Rattus norvegicus: one gene and its partners. The protein of the gene in region 5 interacts with the protein of the main gene of each other region in a pairwise test. Links are inferred from orthologs where the notes say so. Each region holds a gene or a part of one and is shown on either strand. Other genes may lie near its edges. The genes, in order: Lonrf1, Dusp19, Poldip2, Cdc73, Alas1 and Zmat1.

The links.
Region 1: the proteins of Alas1 (region 5) and Lonrf1 interact in binary tests that used the Homo sapiens proteins (3 or more experiments, as listed by UniProt). The two-hybrid records come from large-scale screens. The link is inferred for Rattus norvegicus from reciprocal best matches to the Homo sapiens genes ALAS1 and LONRF1.
Region 2: the proteins of Alas1 (region 5) and Dusp19 interact in a two-hybrid assay, tested with the Homo sapiens proteins (3 studies listed by BioGRID and IntAct). The two-hybrid records come from large-scale screens. The link is inferred for Rattus norvegicus from reciprocal best matches to the Homo sapiens genes ALAS1 and DUSP19.
Region 3: the proteins of Alas1 (region 5) and Poldip2 interact in binary tests that used the Homo sapiens proteins (3 or more experiments, as listed by UniProt). The two-hybrid records come from large-scale screens. The link is inferred for Rattus norvegicus from reciprocal best matches to the Homo sapiens genes ALAS1 and POLDIP2.
Region 4: the proteins of Alas1 (region 5) and Cdc73 interact in a two-hybrid assay, tested with the Homo sapiens proteins (3 studies listed by BioGRID and IntAct). The two-hybrid records come from large-scale screens. The link is inferred for Rattus norvegicus from reciprocal best matches to the Homo sapiens genes ALAS1 and CDC73.
Region 6: the proteins of Alas1 (region 5) and Zmat1 interact in a two-hybrid assay, tested with the Homo sapiens proteins (2 studies listed by BioGRID). The two-hybrid records come from large-scale screens. The link is inferred for Rattus norvegicus from reciprocal best matches to the Homo sapiens genes ALAS1 and ZMAT1.

Annotation. Positions count from the first base shown.
Region 1 is NC_086034.1:62,686,604-62,690,730, reverse strand, and holds the start of Lonrf1 (LON peptidase N-terminal domain and RING finger protein 1), read right to left. Parts: upstream 2,801-4,127; 5' UTR 2,787-2,800; coding exon 1,991-2,786; intron 1-1,990.
Region 2 is NC_086021.1:85,944,059-85,948,102, reverse strand, and holds the start of Dusp19 (dual specificity protein phosphatase 19), read right to left. Parts: upstream 2,801-4,044; 5' UTR 2,643-2,800; coding exon 2,420-2,642; intron 1-2,419.
Region 3 is NC_086028.1:63,908,287-63,911,786, reverse strand, and holds part of Poldip2 (polymerase delta-interacting protein 2), read right to left. Parts: coding exon 3,490-3,500; intron 1,535-3,489; coding exon 1,438-1,534; intron 1,277-1,437; coding exon 1,201-1,276; intron 993-1,200; coding exon 885-992; intron 811-884; coding exon 674-810; intron 1-673. UniProt on the Homo sapiens protein: Involved in DNA damage tolerance by regulating translesion synthesis (TLS) of templates carrying DNA damage lesions such as 8oxoG and abasic sites.
Region 4 is NC_086031.1:57,997,232-58,001,495, reverse strand, and holds the start of Cdc73 (parafibromin), read left to right. Parts: upstream 1-1,464; 5' UTR 1,465-1,651; coding exon 1,652-1,782; intron 1,783-4,264.
Region 5 is NC_086026.1:115,765,843-115,769,817, forward strand, and holds the start of Alas1 (5-aminolevulinate synthase, non-specific, mitochondrial precursor), read right to left. Parts: upstream 2,801-3,975; 5' UTR 2,664-2,800; intron 1,869-2,663; 5' UTR 1,848-1,868; coding exon 1,649-1,847; intron 1-1,648.
Region 6 is NC_086039.1:102,507,699-102,511,650, forward strand, and holds the start of Zmat1 (zinc finger matrin-type protein 1), read right to left. Parts: upstream 2,801-3,952; 5' UTR 2,337-2,800; coding exon 2,075-2,336; intron 1-2,074.

The DNA of each region.
Region 1 (4,127 bases), on a different chromosome or scaffold from region 5:
AACTGACACACTGTGGTGGGTTGTTTGGAAGGCTAGGGATACAAAGCAGAACGCTGCGCATGCCAGGCGAGCTTGCTACCCCTGAGCTATCCGCCCACTCTTATTAATGCCCATAAATTATGAAACACATACACATTTGCCCCCGACCAACTAAAATATGTTTGGCTCTTTAATTGTTCTCTTTTTATCTCGCACAAAGAATTCAAGAGAAAAAAATATCATCATTAGTATCATTGAGATGCATATTCGGGTGGAGAATTACTGATTTTTCTGACAAGCCTATGAATAAGGAAAAAAAAAACCCTATAACATAATAAAGTGAAAGGCCAGAGACTTGAATTCGAGTCTTGAAAAAAGTGTGGTTATGTGGCCTGTGGGCAAATCTCACATGCGGTCTATGAAGCTTGGAAGCGACAGAATTCATCATTCGCAGCCTTTTCTGTTCAAGATGATATCCTGGTAGACCCGAGGATCTCAATGCTGGGCAGAGAATGTTGGGAAGTGGAGGGTCTAAGCTGCCTATACAAGCCACCACCCAAGTGACTGTTGTTAAGTCACCTGCCCTGTCTCTGCTTCCTCCTTAAGGTCTGACAGAAGCCTGATACTGGATGATCAGTCAGGTCCAGCTTCCCCCACTCAACTTTATCCACCCAGATATCCAGAGTCATCCCCAGCAGAACTGTGCATCCCCAAGTGTTCTATCACTCTGGGTTTGTCGTTTTAGTTTATGAGTGCCTGCTCATGAAGCTGCCAGAAGAGGATGAAAACGTGCCAGAAGGGTATGCCTGAAGCTACTGTCAACTTCCTCAGTATGACTAAAAGAGTCAAAGTAATAATTTCAGTTACAAGTTTATAACTTACCTAATACCTAAAATCAGTTCAAATTCCCAATGTCACTCATTTCCTGGGGATTAATACTGTATGTAATTTCTCATGGCAGCCCACAGACACACAAAGCATGCCCAACACCAGGTGACCAACTATGATACAGTTGACATTTGGGCTTGATCAGTCTTTCACGTAGGTGGCTGTGAGCTTAGGAATGTTTAGCAACATCCTTGGACGGGCCACTAGATGTCTGTACTGACAGGACTTCTACAAGAGGTGGCCATTCAAAGATGTCTCTAGATGCTTTACTAGATAAGGGTCCCTGATGTAAAAATCTCTAGGAGGTAAGTACCACCACCACCTCAGTAGAGAACAACCGAGTTCGAGGATTTAAAGAACTCTTGGCTTTACTAAGTTTACAATGACCCCTTTATCCGCAGTCTAAAAGCCATCTCCAGTAAACTGGACAACGCTGTTCTTGGATATAAGCAAAAGACCTACAAAGCTTCCCCTCACAGGTCTACACTGAGTAAGGCAAACTCGTCATAGGAGGCTACTTCTCTACCAACACCAGGAATGTGTGGGAGCACGCACAGAGGTCCAAGGAAGCAGAATGTGAGATAGGCAGGTGGAGGTTCCTGGAGCAAGCGATCCTTTAGGTAAGAAGAGGTGACCACCTCGCGGGCAACCGGTCACCAACTCAGAGCTGGGCCGCCGCTGGGCCTCCGGGTGCCGGTGCCCGCGCCGGGCTCCCGCCACGCCCACCGAACGTCACCCGTTACACAACGCCCCCCCACCCAGCTTATGCAATTCTGCCCTCCCGCGGCTTCTAATTGCCCCGGTGACTTTAGTGCATGACCAAGGTAGACGCGGTACCCCCAAGCCCCGCCAAGCCCGGGGATGCTCGCCCCACCCCGGCTGGGGTTCCCAGCCAGCTCACAGAGGGAAGCCTGTGGCCCCCACCCACCCCGCGCCCAAGCTCCGCCGCCCCAGGTCCCCGCTCGGCGCGCGCACGAGGGAACCTCGCATCCGCGCCCCTCCCTGCGCCGCGTCACTTGAGGCTCCCAGGCGATCCCCACCGTGACCGAAGCACCCCGGGGCGCCGCCCCCTCCCACACTCGCAATCCCCGCTCGCCAGTCCCGCACCGCAGCCCCGCATCACCTGCTCGCAGAGCGTCGCAGGCGGCGGCCAGGGCCTCCCGGTAGCGTCCTTCGTGTAGTAGCTCCCCGAGGCGGCCGGCCGCCCGCGCGCGCTCGCGCTGGCCCGGGAACCACTTCTCCGCCAGGTGGTTGAGCACGACGCTGGTTCGGAAGTCGGCGATGGCGGCGGCCAGGGGCGGCGGCCGCGGGGTCCCCTCGGAGGCGGCGGCGGCGGGTGGCAGACGGTCCCGGCACAGGCGGCAGCGGGCGCGCAGTTCCCTCCGTAGGCAACGGCGACAGTAGCTGTGGCCGCACGGCACGGTCACCGGCTCACTTAGGAAGCCCCGGCAGCCCAGGCAGCTGAGCAGCCCGGCCGCGCCCGCGGCGGGTGCCGCGCTCCAGCGCAGCCCGTGACGGAGCCGGTAGCTGAACACCAGGCAGTCCACTAGCGAACCGAGGCGCTCGGGCCTGGCCGGGGCCCCGCGGCGCAGCGCAGCCGCGAACGCCTCCAGCGCTCCCTTCAGGTGGCCGCCCAGCGCCAGCAGCTCGCCGCGGCGGAGCAGAAGCTCCCAGCGCCCCGGCTCCGCGCCCGCGCGCTCCAACCGCTCGCCGCCGCCCACTTCCCACGGCCCGTTCCGGCTCCGCGGTCCGCCGGCCGTCTCCCGATTCCCGCCCGGGGACGCCCTCGCCACGGCCGGAGAAGACATGGCCCGCGCAGGGCTGCTCCTCCGTCGCCGCCCGCCGCCACGGTCCGGGAACCTCCGGGGCGCGCGGCTCCGCACGCGGCCGGCGAGCAGGGGGGCGTGGCGCGCGGACATGGCGGGGCGGCGCGCGCCCGGGGAGCCCCTAGGGGCGGGGCCTGGGGAGAGGGGCGGAGCTTAGCGAGACGGAGAGGGGCGGGCCTTGGCTTCCGCGCCCGGCCTCCCGACACGCGGCCGGCCGCCCAGTACCGGAGAGCTGGCCGGCCTGTCCCACCCTTTCTGAGCCCCTCCTGGTGAGGGACGCGAGATCAGATGATCCCCAGCGGGGATCTAATTGGCTTCTCTGACAAGGAGGCTTGGCTCCTGACTGAACAAAGCCTGAAGTCTCCCAGGCGGCCTGCGAGCTGACACCTCTTGTAATCGTGGCTGGTCCCCAGGCCTATAGTGGGTGCTATGCTGTTCGTGTGGGCACCAGCAGTGCTGTGACCCCAAACCTGCCGCACATGAGTAGATACTTAGACCCCTCCTGGCCGTAGATGGAAGCCTTGGGTGGGTCTGGATGCCCAGGGTTTCTGCTGGCCAGAACAAGTAGAGGGACTGCGAATGCACATGCACGGTGTGATTACTTTGAGACTCAAATCTGAAATCGGCCAACTCTAGACACACATATTTCATGTTACTGAGACCACTTCCTCCCAGCACGCAAGAGTTTTTCTTGGTGCTTGGTTAGTGCTGACTTGTGATGAAGTTTATTAAGAGAAAATGACAGAAACGAACTGTCCAAAAGAAACCCAATACTTTGTGAGCGATTTGTAAACTTTAATTTTAAAAGTGCAATACACCAAAAAACATTAAACTATTAAATAAACCACATGTACACTTAGAGAGTGAAAGTCCCCATGTCCTCAGGTGTGCTCCACATCCTTCATACACACTAACCCACAGTTGCTTAAAGTTTTTTAAATGAGAAAACAGGAGAAAAACATTTTCGCTGTGGCAGAAACCAGATCACCACGATGCAAGCGTTCTGCAGCTTGGTCGATTGAAGATAGTTTGGCTCATATGTAATGGGTTCTAGTTCCTCTAAATGTGAAAGCATCAGGTATCTCAATGGAAATATTTATAGACTTGATTACAGAGTACTGGGTTGGTAATGTAGGAAGAGATTTAAGGCTTCTTTTTCAAATACTTGATAACAGGAAATAATTCAGTCTGAAATCATACAGTCAGTATTGAAAAGATTTTAAGATCTCACAGTGATAGTATCATATATATATATATATATATAATGTTTAATAAAATTATCTTCAAATATTTTTAACCAGAGATCTTCAAATAAAGCAATTGGATGGAATGTCAAAGGTCATGCTGTCTAAAATTGTCTAACAATTAATTGTTCCTGCTTACACAGAATAGGTAATAACAGTTCAAAAGTGTCTTTATACTAAACAATGAGCA
Region 2 (4,044 bases), on a different chromosome or scaffold from region 5:
TGAGGGCCACAAGTACACAGTGATTCCAAGCTGAGAGGTTCCCTACTAAACCTGATAAGCAGAATGTGTATTCTGCTTCTTCCTACTTGGAAGTTGGACTTCCAAACCACAAGCATTCGGTAAATATGGATAGTGGGTACAGAAACTGTCTGTCCTCTCACCAGCCTGTCCTTCTATCCATTTCAAATGCTTCATGACTAAAAGGTGATTCTCAGTTTTCTACTGTAGGAAGTTTTAATTGTGTTGGGGTGGGAAAACAGGTTCAGATAAATTAATTTTAGTTTAATAGTTTAGTAACGTATCTTTTAACTAATTATTCTATTCTGTTTGTATAAGAAAATAGTAAAAATTGTAACATGGCTTAAATGAAATTATTTTCCTTTTCACCCTACACTTATTGCTTTGGTAATCCTCTCTCTCTCTCTCTCTCTCTCTCTCTCTCTCTCTCTCTCTCTCTCTCTCGGTCGACTACATTACAGAAACAGTTGTATTTTCTAAGTGACTACCAAATTATATTGATATAAACATAAACCCTGTGTGTCTGGTGTATTTGTCTGTGGTGTTGAGGCAAGAACTCTATCACTCACTCTCTCTATGTTGCTCAACCCAATGTTACTCTGGAGCCCAGGCAGGCCTTGAACTAGTTATTATCCTGCCTCAGCTTCTGGAACAGCTATAATTGCAGCCAATTAAAATTCTTTTTTGGGTTGAGGATTTAGCTCAGTGGTAGAGTGCTTGCCTAGCAAGCGCAAGGCTCTAGGTTCGGTCCCCAGCTCCGAAAAAAAGGAAAAAAAAGACTCTTTTTTAAAGAATGTATTTGCTTATCTGTTCACGTTTTTCTGTTTATTGTATATGTAACAGAGAGAAAGGAAAAGAGGGGGTGAGAGGGAGAGAGAGAGACTAATGACAGAGAAGAGTTTGTGATCAACTATGGAGGTCAGAAAAGGCTGCATATACATATTCTCATTCTTAGAAACATACAAGATCTGAACCATCCAGCTCATCCAAAGAATTAACTTAACTTTTTGCTTTTCATTTGGTTAAACGATGGTATTTTCCCCTAAACTGCGATATTTATGGTCTTATTTATTTAATCAACCTAAAGGTGTATATGGCAATTCTTAGGATACATGGTATAACTTGAGTTTTTGCAAAAAATAAAAAAATAAAAAAAATTCACAATGCCAGAACAACCTTATAGGATGTCACTTCAATTACAGCAGAGAGGAGCTGGAGAGGTGGATCAGAGGCTGTGTGCACTTGTTGTTCTTGCAAAGAACTGAGGTTCAGTTCCCAGCATTCATGGTGGTTCACAACCATCTGAACCCAGCTAGAGAAAATCTAATGAGCTCTTCTGACCTCCAAGACACAGTACACGTGCATACACACATGCAACACATGCACATAAAATAAAATAAAAAAACTAAAATTATTGTAAGCAGATGTTTTTTGGAAGTTTTGAGAGGATAAATAAGTTGGAACATGTAATGTAAGTCTGACCTTTTTTTTAAAAACATATTTATTATATATAAGTACTCTGTAGCTGTCTTCAGACAGATCAGAAGAAGACCTCAGATCTCATTAGACGGTTGTGAGCCACCATGTGGTTGCTGGGATTTGAACTCAGGACCTCTGGAAGCACAGTCAGTGCTCTTAACCACTGAGCCATCTCCCCGGCCCGTAAGTTTAACCTTAAACAATGTAGTACTATGATAGTGTGCAGAGTCAGTCAGACTTGGACCTAATCCCCTGGACAACTCTGCTATTTACTGACTCTATTGCCTTCACAAATTACTTCCCCAATCTTAATGCCCAATTCCTATTTGTAATATGAAGATAATTCCTACTTGAAGATCGTTATAACAATTATATACTGTGTATAGCTAATCCTGTGGGTATGTCTAACTCCTGTGTCCAAGTGTTAATTTCTCATTTATAAATGCAAAGCAATGCAGACTTATGGAATAGGCTGGTTTCTAAAGAACACCACCAGGCTCATAGCTATGAAGTAGAAGTCTTGTTTTTAACACCCAAAGACAGCCACCATGAGCAGAGGCAGCCGTAGGAAACACGCTTTCAATGTCGTTTCCACAACCATGGAACCACTTGTTATTACTGCATCTTTTAAAGGATATAGTCTTTTCTATAATACAAGAAAATACAACATCCCATTATCCTTTAAAGAAGGTTAGAAAAATAGAGGAATATTTCTTCTAAAACTCAATCATCTGGTGTTTTTAGAAGAATTGTGAGGGCAGACAGGTCCCTACTTTTTCCTAACTTACAAAAAGTAAGCATTTCAACTCTTCATCAGGATAGCTGATAATATTATTGTGCATAGGGGATTGGTATGCACAGGGGAGTCTGCTGATGAAGGAATCCAGTTCTCCACAACGTAGTGGCAAGTCAGTTTACTCACCCAGAAGCAACCAGGGCTTAATAACGCCAACTTGCAGGTCCAAGGTAAGGTCCTGCACATAGCCACAACCACCCCCACCGCTGGTCTCTGTTTCCACAACATGAACTGTGGCATCTTTCCAAGTTTCTATAAGTTTCTTTCCAGTTAGCGTGGTCACCCTGGTGCACTGCTTCCTGAGATTATCCCGGGAGAATGCTTTGATTTCTTGGTTCAGGGAGTGCATTACATGAGCGAAGGAGGAAAAGCAGCAAGGAAAAAAAAAAAGAAAGAAAGAAGGGGGGGGAAGGCACTGCACGCTGCAGGGCTAGTCAGCCACTAGTCACTTAGCGGAGCTGGCCCCTGCAGTGACAACCTCACCTCCTGGAGAGAAGAGAGCAGCCCAGCACCGCTGTCCCGAACACCGTTGTAAGGCGAGAGCTGATTGGCCGCTAAGAAACGGGCGCCGATTGGATGCTATTTCTCATCCGCTGACGGAAGTCTTATGCCTTCCGGATCCATTCAGAATCTTCTTACCGTATCCTGTTTTTACTCACGGTTTTTAATCCTAGCTTTATTTTGGACCCGGGGGGAATAGTCATTTTTGAGACTCATTTACAGAGAGCTGATATCTCGTAGCTTTCTAAGGGCAGTGATTTTTCTGGGATTGTTCGACTGGTTACAGAGATGACAATGAAGACAGCAGCTGTCACCAAGACCTTTTCCCACCCGGTTGTGAGTCCTCCCGTGGCTCACAGAGGCCTAAGGCTACAGGGTCTGCCTTCTGCCTCACTCTTTTTCTCTCTGCTGTTACTCTTAGAAGAAACATTCACTAGATAAAAACATTCAGTCTGTTTGTGAGGCTCCAACGGGGTAAAATCTACATTAAAAAGTCGTTTTAAATATACGTTTCTACAGACTAGCAAAAGTTAAAATTTAAGTGTATTCTGACCTTCCCGTGCCTTATACAGAATGAATGGTAGTAATTCTATACGTAGTTGGGAAAACAAACATTTACCAAACAGATCAATAGCATGCCGAGTCTGCCTGCAAAAGACGATTGGTTTTTGCAAATGGAAACCACTATTCCTTCAACTGAAATTTTCCTTATTAACCCTTACTAAAGTGTAATTTTAAGGTAATTTAAGTACAATGTATAACGTTTTAAGATTTAGAAAAAATGTATTCTTCAGTGCATACAAACATTTTGTTGCTTTCAAAACATTCTGACATAAAAGTAAGTTTATGAGCTGAATTTTTGTGCCCCTTCAAAATGAGTTGGAATTAGGAGCCCAAGTGTTCAGATATTTGGAAATAGGATCTCTGGGGGATAATTAATATTATATTAAAACATATAACAAGATTAATGGTTTTGTGAGAACAAAGGAGAACTCTTCCTTCCCTAGATAAAGCAGGATTAAGCAAGGAAGTTGGGAGAAGTGGGTGTCAAGGAAGGGGAACAAACACACCAGCAGCCTTGCATAGGCCAGCACCTTGATTTTGGACTTCTTGGCCTTCAAACCACGAGAAGTAAATTTTTCTTGCTTAAACTACACAGTTTTTAGTTTCTTGTTATGGACACCTGACATAGGAACCAAAGTTTTTCTCTTTCAAGTGGAGTTATCTGCCCACAATACCTATGGGGAACT
Region 3 (3,500 bases), on a different chromosome or scaffold from region 5:
CAATCAACATATCTCAAGTGAAGTATTCCTGAAGGCGCAGAGGCTGATGAAGCTGTGACTGGAGCCAGTGATGACTGTGGGAAAACTATGGCCAAGAGCCTCCCTGCATCCTTCCTGTTCTGCCCCCTCTATAATCCTGTCAAAATCAACAGAGCTGGATGCTAGCAGAAATCCACTACAGGGCTCTGTTCTCACCAGTGTCCCTGCCAGCCTGACCTGTCCTCACAGCCCTCTTACTGTCCTGCTCTGACGGATGCTGACATCCCGTGTCTGAGTGAGGAAGTCTTCCATTTATACTTGTATCTGTAGGCCTAGCTTAAAGTGAGGCAAGACACAGATCAGTAAATATCCAGCTATTAAAGATAAAGTGTGACAATCCACACTGATTCAGGCAAGTATGTATGTATTTCTCACAAGAAAGATCTCCTCTATTAGAGGAAAGCTGGCATGAAGGACTACTTTCTGGTCTATGGGTCTATGGTCATGATGCTGGCCATTATCAAGAGGCTACCTCAACCCTACCCTGCATATGCACATGAGCACTTGAAGGCAGAACTGTGGGGGAGGGCTTAGGTTCAGATACACTCCCACTCCCAACACTTTAGTCACATGAGGATACCACACTGAATCTGGGAAGCCCTGAAGGAAGAAGCCCAGGCAGACAGGCACACACCCTCATGCCCATGTAGAAGGGGATGACGGTGACACGGATGCTCTCGGTCGTCTCCCGGTGCACGTCTGAGAGCTCCAGCCATGGGTGATTCTTCTCTTGCCAGGCCCGGAGCGTCTCTCGAGCCACAAAGGGAGGGGCTAGAAGAGACGGCGCATTAGTCCAAACCATGGTCCTGGGCAAGCCACCCACTTCCCCTTTGCTGAGAGACTACCTTTTGTCTGGTCATAGAGAAGGAATCTCTCAAAGAGCTCATGCTGGATGGGAACCTGATCCGTGGAGGTGTAGGGGAGGATGTCTTCATGGCTGACATAGTCCAAGCCTGGCACAGAGACAGAGCTGGTAAGACTCAGACAGCACAAGAATGAAACTGAGAGGAAATACCTTCTGGCCTTGCCCAAGGTAGGCGACCCTGGCATCACAGTTCTCAGTACCATGATCCCTCCCAGCAGATGATAAAACATCAGATTCCACTCCCTCAGACACCAGACCCCTGCTCCTCAGGTACCATTTGGATGCTAACTCCTCACCTGGGATGGCATAGAGGGCCCGGCTGTCATCATGGTTAGCCAAGAAAGTCACAGCTTCTGTCTGAGATCTCTGAGACTAAAGCAAAAGGTGATTCAAAGGTTCCTTAGCTACCACCCAGTCCTGAGGCCTTAAGGCCCAGAGCTGACTTGAGCTCTCTCTGACCCCTCTTTGTCCCTAAAGGAGTAAAATCCTTTCCCATGGAGAGGACCCCAGACCCACACACATTGCTTACTTACTATATGTGGGCAGTCACGGGCATCAATCAGCACTTGATAGTAAGTGTGAGTTTTGCCTTTCACCTCCTTAGAGCCATGGCCAGCAGGGTTCTCTGCTCTGTGGGATGAGAAGCAGCCTAGGTCACCCCAGAGGGGAACAAGCTGCGCTTGGCTCCGTTCATTGCCATCTCCTCTCCTAAATGGCCTGGTTCATGATCTAAAGGGGTTTTGGCATAGGTTGGCTTTTGCTCAACACACCTCCAGCCAGCCTCTCCCTAGTCAGGGCAAACGATGGAATCCCCAGGGCCCCTGCAGTTACCACTCTGGGCACCTCCTTGAAGAGGGCCAGGACAAAAAAGTCCACTTGGTATGTGAGCCCCAAGGCCACGAGAACCTTATACTTCTTTCGCCCCAGGGTTAGCTGTGATTATGTGTGGAACTTCCCTCTTTTTTTTTTTTTTTTTTTTTTTTGGTTCTTTTTTTTCGGAGCTGGGGACCGAACCCAGGGCCTTGCGCTTCCTAGGCAAGCGCTCTACCACTGAGCTAAATCCCCAACCCCGGAACTTCCCTCTTTTAATGTACCTTATTGATGATGTGAGATTAACAGAAAGATTTCCAACTGGACATCAAGAAACCAAGAAGCAGGGCTAGAAAGAGGGCTTAGTGGTTGAGAGCACCAGCTGCTCTTCTAAAGGACCCAAGTTTAGTTTCCAGCACCCACAAGAAGGTCACACAGTTTTTAACTCAAGTTCTGAGGAATCTACACCCTCTTCTGGCCTCCAGGAGCACTGCATGAATGTGGCAAAAAGTCCTGCATGCAGGCAGAACACTAATATACATTCTATAAAATAAAACCCTCAGAAAGGGAGGAACCAAGAAGAGCCTGGTGTGCTGACTCATGCCCTCCCCAGCACTGGTTTGACAAGAGGCAGAGACACAGATCTCTATGTGTTTAGGACAACCAGGGCTATGTAATAAATAATATTTAAGTAAATAAAAAAGTAAGACTAGTAATACTCATAAGGAAGGGGTAGAAGATGGCTGTGTTTAAAGGGCACTGGCTGCTCTAAACCTGGGGAGGACCCAGGTTTGGTTCCCAACACTCACATGGCGGCTCACAACCATCTGTAACTCTAGTCTCAGAGACTCCAGCTCCCTTTTCTGGCCTCCCTGAGCACTGTGCACAGACACATCCAGGCAAAAAGAAATCCATATACACAAAATAAAAACAAATAAATCTTTTTTTTTTTTTAAAGAAAGGAAGTAAAAACAGAAGCAATCCCCTAGAACATCCTCTGGGGTTTGGATTATGAAAAGGGAGAGCAGTAGGAGTTTATAAAAAGGAAGGGCAGACGGGTTCTGGGGAGGCCCAAAGAGACCCCATATACTTAAAACTTTTGTCTCCATGGGGGCGAGTGCCAGAGAAACAGGCTGGAATTATTTCTTTTATTTTAGTTGGCTGGGTTATTTTTTTTTTTCCTATTTGTTTTGTTTTGTTTTTTTTGAAACAGGGTCTCTCTACAAAGCTCTGGCTTTTTTGCTGTCCTTGAACTCACTCTGTAGACCACATTGGCCTTGAACTTACTCTGTAGACCACATTGGCCTTGAACTCACAAAGATCCTTCTGCCTCTGCCTCCCAAGTGCTGGGATTTTTTTTTTCTTTTTTTTTCCGGAACTGGGGACCGAACTGAGGGCCTTGCGCTTGCTAGGCAAGCGCTCTACTACTGAGCTAAATCCCCAGCCCAAATTTTTAAATTTATTTTATTTATATGAGTACACTGTAGCTCTCTTCAGACACACCAGAAGAGGGCATCGGATCCCATTACAGATGGTTGTGAGCCACTATGTGGTTTCTGGGAATTGAACTCAGGACCTCTGGAAGGGCAGTCAGTGCTCCTAACCGCTGAGCCATCTCTCCAGCCCCCCCAAGTGCTGGGATTTAAATGTGTGCAGTACCATGCCTGGCTTGGGGTTATTTCTAAAGACCAAGGGGATGCTGTTTTTACCCCAACTGCATATAGACAAGTCAGGCCACCTGAGGACACCATGAGATAGGACAGAGAAAAACTTACTTTTCTGGAGC
Region 4 (4,264 bases), on a different chromosome or scaffold from region 5:
CCTTAAAGACATAAATTAATCAAAAAGAGAAATTGGTTGGAAATGATTTGTATATAAAATAAAATTCATAAAAACTATTGTTGACTTTCTTAACTCGTCTTGAAACCTATAATGCACTTATTACCTCAAACTTTACTAGGAGACTTTATCTTTTCACTTACTAACTCAATATTTTCTAGGTGTTGTTACTGTATCAAGTACAGTGCAGACGACCAAGATGTACTACATGTCATACAGTCGTTTCATTTCCTAGGAGGTAGGCAAGCAAATAAAGGGGACAAGGAAATACTGGGTACTGTGATATATAGGTATAAGTCCAGATGTGAAAGGGACAGTCGAGCAAAGTCAGTTCTTTATAAGCCGCATTTGCCGTGAGGTTCAGAGACACATTGAAGGGAGAAAACCGTTTGTGAGGCAGACATTCTTTTAACCTCATACATCCATACCCGGAGAACTCTTTGCCACACATAACAAAAGTTCATGCCCCCCCCCCCAAAACCCAATAGATCAAAGTATTTGGTTTTATAAGTAACAAAGTGTGCCTCCTTCTCACCAAGAGTGAAAAAGAAATATTAGGCTTGAAGTGTATGTTTAAGTTACACAGGCCATGTAAAGTATCAGAATTCTAGGTTCCCCTAACATAAAGTCACCGGTAAACCTTTTGAGGTTTGATGTTTAGTATTTCTTCCACTCACAACCTGGAATCATTTGAGGCTTTTTTTGGGGCGGGGGGCGGTTACCCGGGAGAAGCTGCCGTTGCCGGGATGGAAAAAAGTTGTTTCCAAGGAAAGAGGCGGCGTGGGGGAGGGGGTGGTCAACAATGAATTGTATTTCGTCGACGCGTTAGGATGCTTTCAACTTATTCTCATATTAATTTTACTCCGTTCACCAATCAATCGATGTTAGGAGACCAGCGACTAACAAACGGTTCCAGAATTGTTCTTCACCTAACTCTTCTTTTCCTCTTTGCAAATCTACTCCTAATGAAAACCTAGCCTTAACTTGAAAACGTCCACATTCCAAAGTTCAAGCTTTCCCTAGTAGCTTATCCTGCCCACGGGGACCTATTTCGCTGAGTGCGGCTCAGATGAAGGCAGAAAGAGGGGGAAGCCTTCAACACAGGGAAGCGAAGCCTGGCGCAGGGAAAGTAAATCACCCAGTGCGCGCTCTGGGATCGAAAGTGCGGAAGCGCCCAGCAGGTGCGCGCGCACCTGTCGCTCGCCTCGGAACCCGCGCCGGGCGCGATTCCGCTAAGGCTCAGCACCCCGGGAGCGCCCAGGCTGGCTCCCGGTTTCCCAGAGTCGGCGGCGTGCCCCGCGGGCGTCTGGGAGGCGCGTCTGCTCGGGCGGCCGCGGCGCCCCCTGGCGGCGGCCCGCGGCCCTGGCGGAGCGTGGGTCAGTCAGGCGTTCTCCGCGGGCAGCCCGCGGCGGGGCCTTGCCTTATATAGCGCGGGGTCCTTGGCGGCCTGGGTGGCTTCTGCCCGTGCTGCTGTCGTAGACGCGGACGGCTGTTAGTGTGGTGGCTGTTGGTTCGCGGCGGCGGCGGCGGGGGAAGAGGGCGAGGCGACGGGGAAAGGAGGCGGCGGGCGCGGCGGCGACGGCGGTGCCCGGGGCCCGCGGCGGCGGCGGCTGTAGCAGCGAGGGGGGCGAAGATGGCGGACGTGCTCAGCGTCCTGCGACAGTACAACATCCAGAAGAAGGAGATTGTGGTCAAGGGGGATGAAGTGATCTTCGGGGAGTTCTCCTGGCCCAAGAATGTGAAGACCAACTATGTAGTTTGGGGGTAAGTGCGGCATGGCTTTGGCCTAGTGGTGGCCGGGCAGCGTCGGGCGCCCCCGGGCGACCTCTTCCCTTAAGCCCTCCTCCTCCGGAGTCCCTCGGGGATGAGAGGAAAATATGGGTGCTCTGGGAAAAAGTTATTCTCTGGAGCAGAAGTTGTACTTTTAGGGTGAGGAGGGAAGAAGTGGAGCGGATTCTAGAGCGGTCAAGTCTTTTCTGTGTTGGAGAAGCCAAGGGGAAAGGTACCATGGGAGTTTCCGACTTGCCAGTCGGTGTTCAGTATGTACAGGTTGTCCGCGCTGTGTAGGGCTGCTGCACGTCTACCTGAACGGAGGTATAGAAGCAGACATCGATCCCAGCATCTGGCGTCCACCGAGTCGCTTTTTGTTCTTAGTTGTTTTTTGTAATCTCCCAGAGGCTGCCATGTGTTGCAACTGTCTCCTCTGGCTCTTCGAGCGTCCCGGTAATTTTCTTTTCTTTTTTTCATAATAGGGGAGGCTGATATTAAAAAAGAGGGAATAGACAAGTACTCCTTACAGTTTAGGAAAGATGGGAGAGTTTGGAAGTCTGCAAACATCAGTATTGGAGAGGAAAGCAAGACTTTGTTGGGGAGAAAGTTATTGGTGAAATGCAGTGAGTTTTACATACGGGTCTGAGAAATTGATCCTATGTGCTTTTCAAAAAGCGCTTTCAAAGAAAAACGAAGCGTTTGGGAAGGTTGATTCGTGGATGCCATGAACTTAAGTCGTTGAGGAAATCACAGAGTATCAAGTTAATAATCAAAGATAATCCTTTGGGTCCCCTTTAATCATGATACTGCCATTGATGCTTCTCTTTGATAATTAGAATCATGAGTCAGACTTTTGGTACTCATGACTTTATGAATGATCAATTAAAAACGAGAAAATGTTAAGATTTCTTTGGACTTACTGAGTTCCTTTTTGAAATGTTGATTAAGTGACATTTTGAGTTTCCCATGTTTTACTGTTTCAGATACGTTACACAGAATTATTTTATTGGGTTTTAATGAATATTTTTTCTTTAAAAACCCGTGGGATAAAAGAAGTTTAACTTGGAAAAAAAAAAGTTCCTTCCTTAAGCTATTTTGACTAGAAAAAGTGGAACAGATTAAGTTGATCTGAAATGTTTCCTAGCTGATAGGAAGAGAACAGTTGTTTACTTGTGGGTGGGGCGGTATTTAGAAAAGTGTGTTTTGTCCATTCTACAAAGCCTGGAATAAATGAATGAACAGATGAGTAAACTTTAAAGAACAGCTAAGAATTTGAGTGAGATAGTGGGATAGCCTTCCAGTGCTGGGGACTATAGACTTGAGACTTAAGACATGAGACTTGGGAAGGACATGCTTTGACAAGAGTGTACAGAGGAGTGAAAAGTAAAACTTAGAAGGAATTTAAAACTTTCAACATCAAATCTTCAACAGAAGTTATATCTCTACATGAATTCACATCTCACTGTGTGTATCTCTAAAAGACTAGTTAGTACCCTTAATGCATTCAGCGCTTTCTGCTATTTTATGATAATTACTTTGTATATTAATTAACAATGAATGATTTGACATATCACTTCAGAGCAGTGGTTCTCAACCTGTGGGTTGGAAGTGTGGGAAGACCCTCACAGGGGTCTCCTACGGCCATCAGAAAACATAGGTACATTTATAACAGTAGCAAAGTTAAGAGTTACGAAGTAGCAACGAAAATTATTTTTTAGTTGGAGGTCACCAGAACAAGAAGAATTGTATTAAAGAGTTGTAGCATTAGGAGGGCTGAGAACCACTTGCTTAGAGTAAAAGTGATAATAGAGGCTAGTAAAGGAGGTTTAGGACAAAATAAAGTGAGCTGTATTTAAATGGATTCCTACAGTTGAACCATCATAAGTAGATGGAGGAGAAAGGAAGGGATTGCAAAGTGGTGTGTGCGTTAGCATTAGAGAACTTGTATCCCCAAGACTACATTACTTGATCACAGTATTTTAGTTTTGCTTTATTGGTTTAGTTTGAGAGATGTTATAAGGATCATCTCCTTGGAGTACATCCTTTTAACTTTCAGAGTATTGTTGAAGATGTTGTATAGCAGTATCTTTTTTAGAATTATAAGATGTATATCTTTTAAGTGCATCCTTAGTAATACCTTCATCTAGTTTGTTTTCTATGATAATCCTTTCCATTGTGCAGCTGGTTGGATTTTTTTTTTTTTATTTTTTCTGTTGACAGAGTCCAGAACTCAAGTCTTATTTTAAAATATGTATACATATTTAGAGTTGGGATTGAGGATGTAGCTCAGTTGGTGTGATGCTTGCTTAGTATGTATGGGTTTCGGCACTTGATCCCCAACACCACATGCAAAGAAATATGGTGGAGTGTACATGCTGTCCTCAGCTGTGTAGCAGAGTTGAGGCTAGCTGGGATACATGAGACCTTGCCTGTCTTTTTTTTTTTTTTTTTTTTCTATTCTTTTTTTTTGGAGCTG
Region 5 (3,975 bases):
GAGAGATGGCTCAGCGGCTAAGAGCACTGACTGCTCTTCCAGAGGTCCTGAGTTCAAATCCCAGCAACCACATGGTGGTTCACAGCCATCTGTAATGGGATCTGATGCCCTCTTCTGGTGTGTCTGGAGACAGTGACAGTGCACTCATATATATTAAATAAATAAATCTTAAAAAGAAAAAAGAAAGAAAGAAAGAAAGAGAGAGAAAGAGAGAAAGAAAGGAAAAACAGGCTGTCCCTTAGATCTTCAAACTGTCCCCAAACTACCAGGGCTATTAAAAGGCGTAGGCAGGTTGGATTCACAGAGGGCTCACCTCACCTACTTTCTCATCGAAGTTCAAAGGAAGCTGCTGACCCAGCACAGCAGGCTGGCTTTGCGCTCTAAGTTACAGTCACTCCTTGAGCCCTTGAGCAATGTGCTCACCTTCCTTCTAGAAAAGTCTTCCTTCATCATATTGGAATACTCCCATGAGTCACTGGCTGCTCTTTCTACAACTTGGATAAGGTGTCTCAATACAGTTTCCATAACATTTTCTATAAAGACAAGTCAAGAAATGGTATTTTGAAACTAACTTGATTTTTTTTTTTTAACAAGGATTGCAGATCTGTTATGGAAAGTCTAGAACAATGGAAGGGAAAAGGAGCATTCTACCTCAAAACATGGCCACCACAGACATTCTGAGAAAAGACAATTAACTCCTGGCAGGAAAGTCCTGCCCACTAGAAGAACAAACAGTCCTTCGACACACCGAAGAGAAGCCTGAAAGATGAAGGGCTCACCAGGAAGGAGTAAGTGGCCTTGAGAAGCCCGCCACCTGTACGGGGCAGGTCCATGCCCTGACAAACACTAACAAACACCGTGCCTCACTTACGTAAGGCAACTGGCCCAGTGGTAGAGTGGTGGCTGCCAGGCACTGGGGGAAGGAGTATGGGAGTTAATGTTTAATGGCCGCCCTTTTCAGTTTGGGAAGATGAAGAAAGTTCAGGAATTGGATGGTGGTGGCAGAACAACACGGGTGTATGCAATACTGTGAGTCACACGCTGCACTGATTAACACGGGCATGGTAACTGAGGTGGTGCATGCTTACAATTAAGGCTGAGGCAGGAGGATTGCCGTAAGTTGGAGGGCAATCTGGCTATATTATGAGACTCTGATTAAAAAAAAAAAAAAACTAAACTAAAATGGTAATATTATACACACACACACACACACACACACACACATATATATATATATATATATATATATATATATATATATATATATAGTTTGTTTGTTTTGCTTGAAGGGGAAAACGACAGTGGCTCACAAGTCTGTGACTCCCTCTTCTGGCCCCCTGGACCAAAGGAACGAACTAACAGTGGTAACTCAGGCCTGTGGTATCAGCGCTTGGGAGGCTGAGGTGAGGTCCTGACTTCATGGCCAGCCTAGACTACACAGTGAGTTCTGGGATAGCCTAGGACACAGAGTGAGATGCTCCCTCAAGATACTAGACAGATTTTTAGCCCCTAACTCAGGAGTCAGAGGGACAGTTCCACAAGATGACCCCCCCGCTCCCCATACACAAGGGTTGATCCTGATGGAGTAAGGCTCCCTCAGAGTGGCCTTCACCACCAAGGACATCTTCCCTCACTGCCAACTACTTACTCTCATTGGCTGGAGGGGTTTCTTTGACCTGCTGGCACTGTGCTGCTGAAGTGGACACGGTCCGAGGAGCCGGCTTGGCCCCGACTTCCATCATCTTGGGGCAGTTTTGAGCATAGAACAGCAGAGATTTCCCTGCCTTCTGCAGAAAGGCCTGAGGGACTCGGGATAAGAATGGGCATCTGCGAACGACAGTCTCCATGTCTGCAAAGTGTCCCGGGTCCTGTACAAGAGTCCATGATGAGTGACATTAAGGGAGGCCCAGACACACATCCCACTCAAAACCAAACCAAACCAAACCAAACTAAGGACAGCAACCAACAGAGCTCAGTAAAGGCATGGGAGCCACACTCTACCCAGGTCACCAACTTCTACATTCTCTACTTCTAGAGAAACCCTCCCATCCCCTAAGCAACTTTACCAGAGTAAGTAGGGACGACCAATAACTAAGGATGTAGAGATGAAGAACAAGGCAGAACTGGTGTCGGAGGCCAGAGGCTCCTTGAAGGGTGTACACTGTAGGTTAAGACACTTTAGCACACACCCAGGAGCAATAGCAAGGCCAGGGGAAAAGTCACTGTCACCTATCCAGCTAGGGAGGACTCCCTGGGATCCTAGCAACCCCAGGAAGGGGGAAGAGTCTAGACCAGCCCTGAGTCCCCGAGACAAGGTCATGTCCCTACAGCTAGAACAGGGAAAGGAGGCAGAAAGAAGGGTAAGGGCAGGGCTGACTCGGTCAGGAGCAGGGCTAGACAATGCAGAGCCTGACTGGTGGAAGGGGGTCAGCAGTGAGTCAGAGGTTCTCTGGGGTCAGAATGGAAAGGGTAAGAAAGAAGTTCTGAAGGCGCCTGTCAAAACGCCGAATGTCAGAAGGGCACGTAGTGGGGCGTCTGAGGTAGCCCAAGAGGTAAAGAGGGGGGATGAACGCTGAGCCAAGGTGGTGCCCGGAGGGGGATGGGCATGTGGCCGCGGTGGCGGGGCGCGCCGGGTTCCCGCGACCACCGAGCGTGGCCCTCACCTGCGCGGGCTCTCGACGAGACGGCGGTGGGCACTCGAGCGGAGGACGCTAAACCGACCAGTGCCCTTCTTCACGAACAGCCTCGGCTAGGGCCGCTGTTGGCCTAATATAGAGCCGGGGGTGACCGCTGCGCATGCGCTGTGGGTGCGGCCTGCCGCGCGCACGCGCACCGGAGTCGGCCCGGCAGGGTGCCAGGTCCCTCTGTGTGGGCTCTGCTCCAACTCTTGTGACTATGTCTTAGGCCTACGCTGCCTGAGCCAGGAGAGCAGGGCAGTGGACGGGCAAGTCCCTTTTTGGATCTCTACCCTTCGTCCCTCTTTCACCTTCCACGAACAGCCCTGTGCGTCAGACTCCTGGGCCCCCGGCGTAGGTCGTAAACCAAACCCACCCTGGTAAAAAGGTTTATTGGGCGCACAGGAAGGGGTTTCACGCCAGGGTCTTAAGATCAGATCAACGAGGGGCTTGCTTGGTTTTGTTTGCATCGATGACAGGGATTCTTTACTTGATGAATGGCCCAAGAATAGAATGGTCCTGGTGAAGAGATGCTAAGGGGCTGCAGACACGGGATTGAAGAAGCAGCCGCAGAAGGGTGATACGTTCTGATCCGAATTGAAGAAAAGAGAGAGCAGGGAACAGAGGAACTGACTAGATGGAGCTCATAGCTCCACAGTTCTAGTCACCCAGATGGTGAGGGTGTCATGACAGCACAGGGCCTGACACAGGATTGAACAGCTAAATTATCTTGTTTTTTAATTTGAGACAAGGTCTCATGTAGTCACACCATACTGTCCTCAAAGTTGCTATGTAGCCAACCTTGGAGGCATCCTGTCTCTACCTCCCCAGTGCTGGGATTGCAGGTAGGAGCCGCCATGCCTACAGGATGCAGCACTGAGGATGGAATCTAGGGTCTTCTGCATGCTTGGCAAAGACTACCCTTATTGAACTGCGTCCCTGACCCCGTTTTTGTGTCATTTTGTTGAATCAGGGTCTCACTTTGTGGACCAGGATGGCTTCCAACTTTGCCAGATTCCCGCTTCTGTTTCAAACACTGGGAATCATAACCCGGGCCACAACACTTAATTAGCCCTTGTTTGTGTTTTGTTTTTATACGGAGCATAGTCCAAAGTCCTTGCTGGTTGTAATGCACACCAACTGAGAGGTCTAGCTCTCTGTGTTAATCCAAAAGATGAGAGGAGAAAGACCACTGACCCAAATCATCATGGCCAAATTTATTAAAGCAGGCGAGCAATTAAAGCAAGCTTTTGTTACTTGGATACATAGGCTGCCTTCCCCTAAGGCGCTGACTGAGAGG
Region 6 (3,952 bases), on a different chromosome or scaffold from region 5:
AAATTGAATTTATCCTTTACAAACAGCTATGTCATTTTCACTATAGACAGTTAGCATATTTTAACAGATCTCAAAGTCGAATTAAGTAAGCTAGAATTGTCTTCAGATTGTAGCAGATGCTGCTTGTTGAAATTACTCATCCTAAAATTACCAAAAAGTGAAAGACTAGCTGGAGTTAGTTTTAGTAGAATAGAAATACTGTCACTTTGCTGATGGAAGTCACCACTTTCCCTTATGTTTTTCTAGTGCTCTTAGACAGTCCTATGGTTAGTCAGAGAATATTCATGAATCCTCTGGCCAGGACAACTTTGTACATATTGTTCCCTCATTTCAGAGAGTAATTCTCTGATGTTTTTACTTTGCCTTGCCCACTTTGACCCTGGAAGAAATGCTGACTCTACCTGACTACCTTCTTGACGTGTCTCTCTGTGCTTGTGGCCAGGTTTGCTCCATTCCACATAGCTTACAGTTCTGTCTTTTCCTTCTAATTTGGTGTTTTACCTGGGATTTGGCTTCTAATTTGGTGTTTTACCTGGGATTTAGTTTGCATGTAAATTCATGCTTCTAGCTGCTTCCAAGTCCTGACAAGCAGATATTACATACATTGCCTAGGCTTTTGACTTCTAACGTGATTTATTCTGTTTCATATCTATAGGTATCCATCATATTCAAGAGATACAAATTCTGAGGACACAGAATGTTCTCTTAAAGCATAGAAAATTATTGTTTGATTATTTAATAAGCATACTTAAGTTATGTGTGCATAGGCAATCTGGATGAGACTGCTGTCAAATAAATAGCAGAATACAGCAAATTTAATCTTAAAGGTCTTTAAGCGGCTTTGTGATGCTTGAATCAGGCAATGCTTCGTTTCATGGAGCAAATAAATGCTTCAATGACGTGAACAGAGGATTGGTAAACAAAGAGAAATTGAAGAAAACATACATAAATAACAAACTGGGTTAGCTGTTCCAAGGTCCTTTGACAGAAGATATATAGAGAGAACGAAAGAAAATGCACTGATTTGTTAACTGTCGGTTACTTCAGGTTACTTTGGTGGCTAAAGATTGGAAACAGGGAGGACTTCATTATCATGCCTACTGTAACTGGCCTGTTTGAGAGACTGCACTGTTATCTTTCAGTTTTGGAAGGTCAGATAACTCGCTTCAGTAGGAGTAGCAATATTTTGATATTTATTGTGCTCTGTCAGGGCTTCATGCAAGAGCTTACACTCCAAAACAATGGCCTCCTCTAATTTTTATCTAATATAAAGTAGGACATTTGGCACACATTATAGAGCAGTTTTGAACCAGTATAAAACATGTCTTTCAGATTTTATTGTATCTTGTTTCTCTTATAAGAGAACAGCACTCTTTTTCTTTTCATTTCAGCTCATCCTAAATTCATTTGCAAATTGAGGTCGTTGTTTTAGTTCATCACGTCAAAACAAAGGAATAATAGAACTCCTTAGCCCCTCTTTAAGCAAATGATTACAACTTAAGATGATACCTTTGTTAAGCTCTCAAGATGCCAGAGAAACATTTCTGGAAATTTACATTTTACATAGATGAAGTCTACAGCCTTATAGATTCGTTTACTTTCTAAATGTTGGAGTAAGGGATCTTGGTTAGTTGGGTTTCACAAAGAAAGTCTCTTGGAATTGAAAAATGGTTTATTTACCTTTTATAAATAGAAACATCGCAGTAGCTCTGTTATTCCCAACCTTGGGGAATAACTCAAAGAACAGTTATGGAAGCTGTCTGTAATATATCTGCGAAGGCATCCACCGGACTGAAAAGTCTCAGAAGACCTTATCTGCCTGTCAGATCTTAGCAAAAGTACACCAGCAGAATGTGGGATTGTTCCTAAACTACCTACCTATATAATAGGGACTAAATATTTTTATAAGCTTCCTACTTTCTGCCAATACTAAAGAACCAGTCCATGCTTACAAATCATAAATGTCTGTAACCAAATATTAGAGACTGGCTAGCATCCATATTACTTTTTTCTTCACTGTGAGTGAATACCTAACAGAAACAACTCAAGGGAGGAAAGGTTTAGTTTGGCTTACAGTTTGAGGAGATACGGTTGATCTTGGGAGGGAAGGCTTGGCAGCGAGGACTCCATCCATGGCAGCGGGGGCTCCATCCACGGAAGCGGTGGCTCCGTCCACGGAAGCGAGGACTCCATCCACGGAAGCGAGGGCTCCATCCACGGAAGCGAGGGCTCCATCCACGGAAGCGAGGGCTCCATCCACGGAAGCGAGGGCTCCATCCAGGGTAGCGGGGACTCCATTCTTGGCAGCGGGCCTGTGTTGCAGCTTGTTGATGCATAGCTTGGGCCAGGAAGCAGAGATGAAACTGGAAGCAGGTCCAGGCTACAACTAACCCTCAAGACCTGCCTCCAGTGACGAACTTCCTCAGCCCAGCTCCACCTTCTCAGAGTTTTGGAACCTCCCCAAACAGCACTGCCAGCTAGGGACCAAGTGTTATATTCAAACTGTAGTTTTCCTCCAAAGGTTCATGACTATCTCATAAAACAAATATATTTAGTCCAACTTTAAAAATACCCACAGTCTTATATTCTCAACACCAATATAAGGGGACCAAGATGTTTAAAGTGCAAAGTCTCGGGCAAACTCTAAGTTATAAGTTCTAATTAAAAAAAAAAAAAAATCCAGGCTCTGGAGGGATGGCTCAGTGTTTAAGAGTACATGATGCTTTTGCAGAAGGACCTAAGTTCAGGTCCTGGTACCCATATGGCGGCTCACAACCATCTGTAAACTCCAGTTCTGGTGGATATAACCCCCTCTTTTGGCCTCTGTGGGCAGTGCATGCACCTGCTACATCTACCCACAGGCAAATGCCGATACACATAGAATAAAAGAATTGAAAGAACATAAAAGATCCAAGTTCCATACTTCCAGTGTACAATGGCACAGAATCAACATTCCCATTTCAAAAGTAAGGAGTGGAAGAAGAGGAAGGTAAGAGCAGAGAAAAATAAGACCAGCGCACCTCAGGACAATCATTAATCCCTGCAGCTCTATGTCCAGTATTAGAGTTCACGAGGATACTGTGGAGGCTCTGATGGACTTGGGGAACCTTGGCTCTCCAGCCTTGCTTCCTGGAGTATCCATGTTCTCTCTCCTGCATTGGCTCTACCCAATGTTTTCAACTTTCCTCAGCAGGTGTTTGACCTTTCTAGCATCTCCTGCATCTAAGTGTCTCCATTGCAACTTTGGGTTCTCTTTAACACCTACACACAGCAGCCTATTGGGACCTCGATTCAGAGAATTTGGCTCTGTTACTCATTGCCTAACCTCATAGGATTTTTTCCTCTGAAGTTTTGGGTCAAGACTTCATGGTCACAAAACTATTGATTATACTAACAAGCTTTCCTGCCAGCTTTGTAATGTAGTCTGGCCCTGGTGCACATTAGCTCTAGTGGCCTCCAAGTACTTGAATGGCCAAACCAGGGAAAACATTTCCCCATTTCATCAGGGTACCCTAAGGTTCTTCCCTTTTCACACATTCTGCTTTTATATATTTATTTTTAATTTGTGGATAAGGTGGAGTGGGGCATGGGCATGTGGATGCTCATGGAAATCGGAAGAAGACACTGATCTCCTGGAACTGGAGTAATAGAGGGTGTGAACCACACAGGCCCCTTGCAAGAATACTGTGTGATATTAGCTACTGAGACATCACTCCAGTTTTAGCAGTCTAGTTTTAAATCCAGGTTTCAAAGTGAGTTTGTATTGTTGTACCTTGGAGCTGTGGGTGGTTGGGAGCTTATCCTGAAGGCACTAATCTCACTGTTCTAGTGAATTTTTTGTGGTTGCTTTTTAACGATACCAATTCCTTTAACAATTGTACTCACTGTATACACAGCATGTCTACTATTTTAAGTATGTTCATACACCTTTATTTACTAAACAGTATAATTT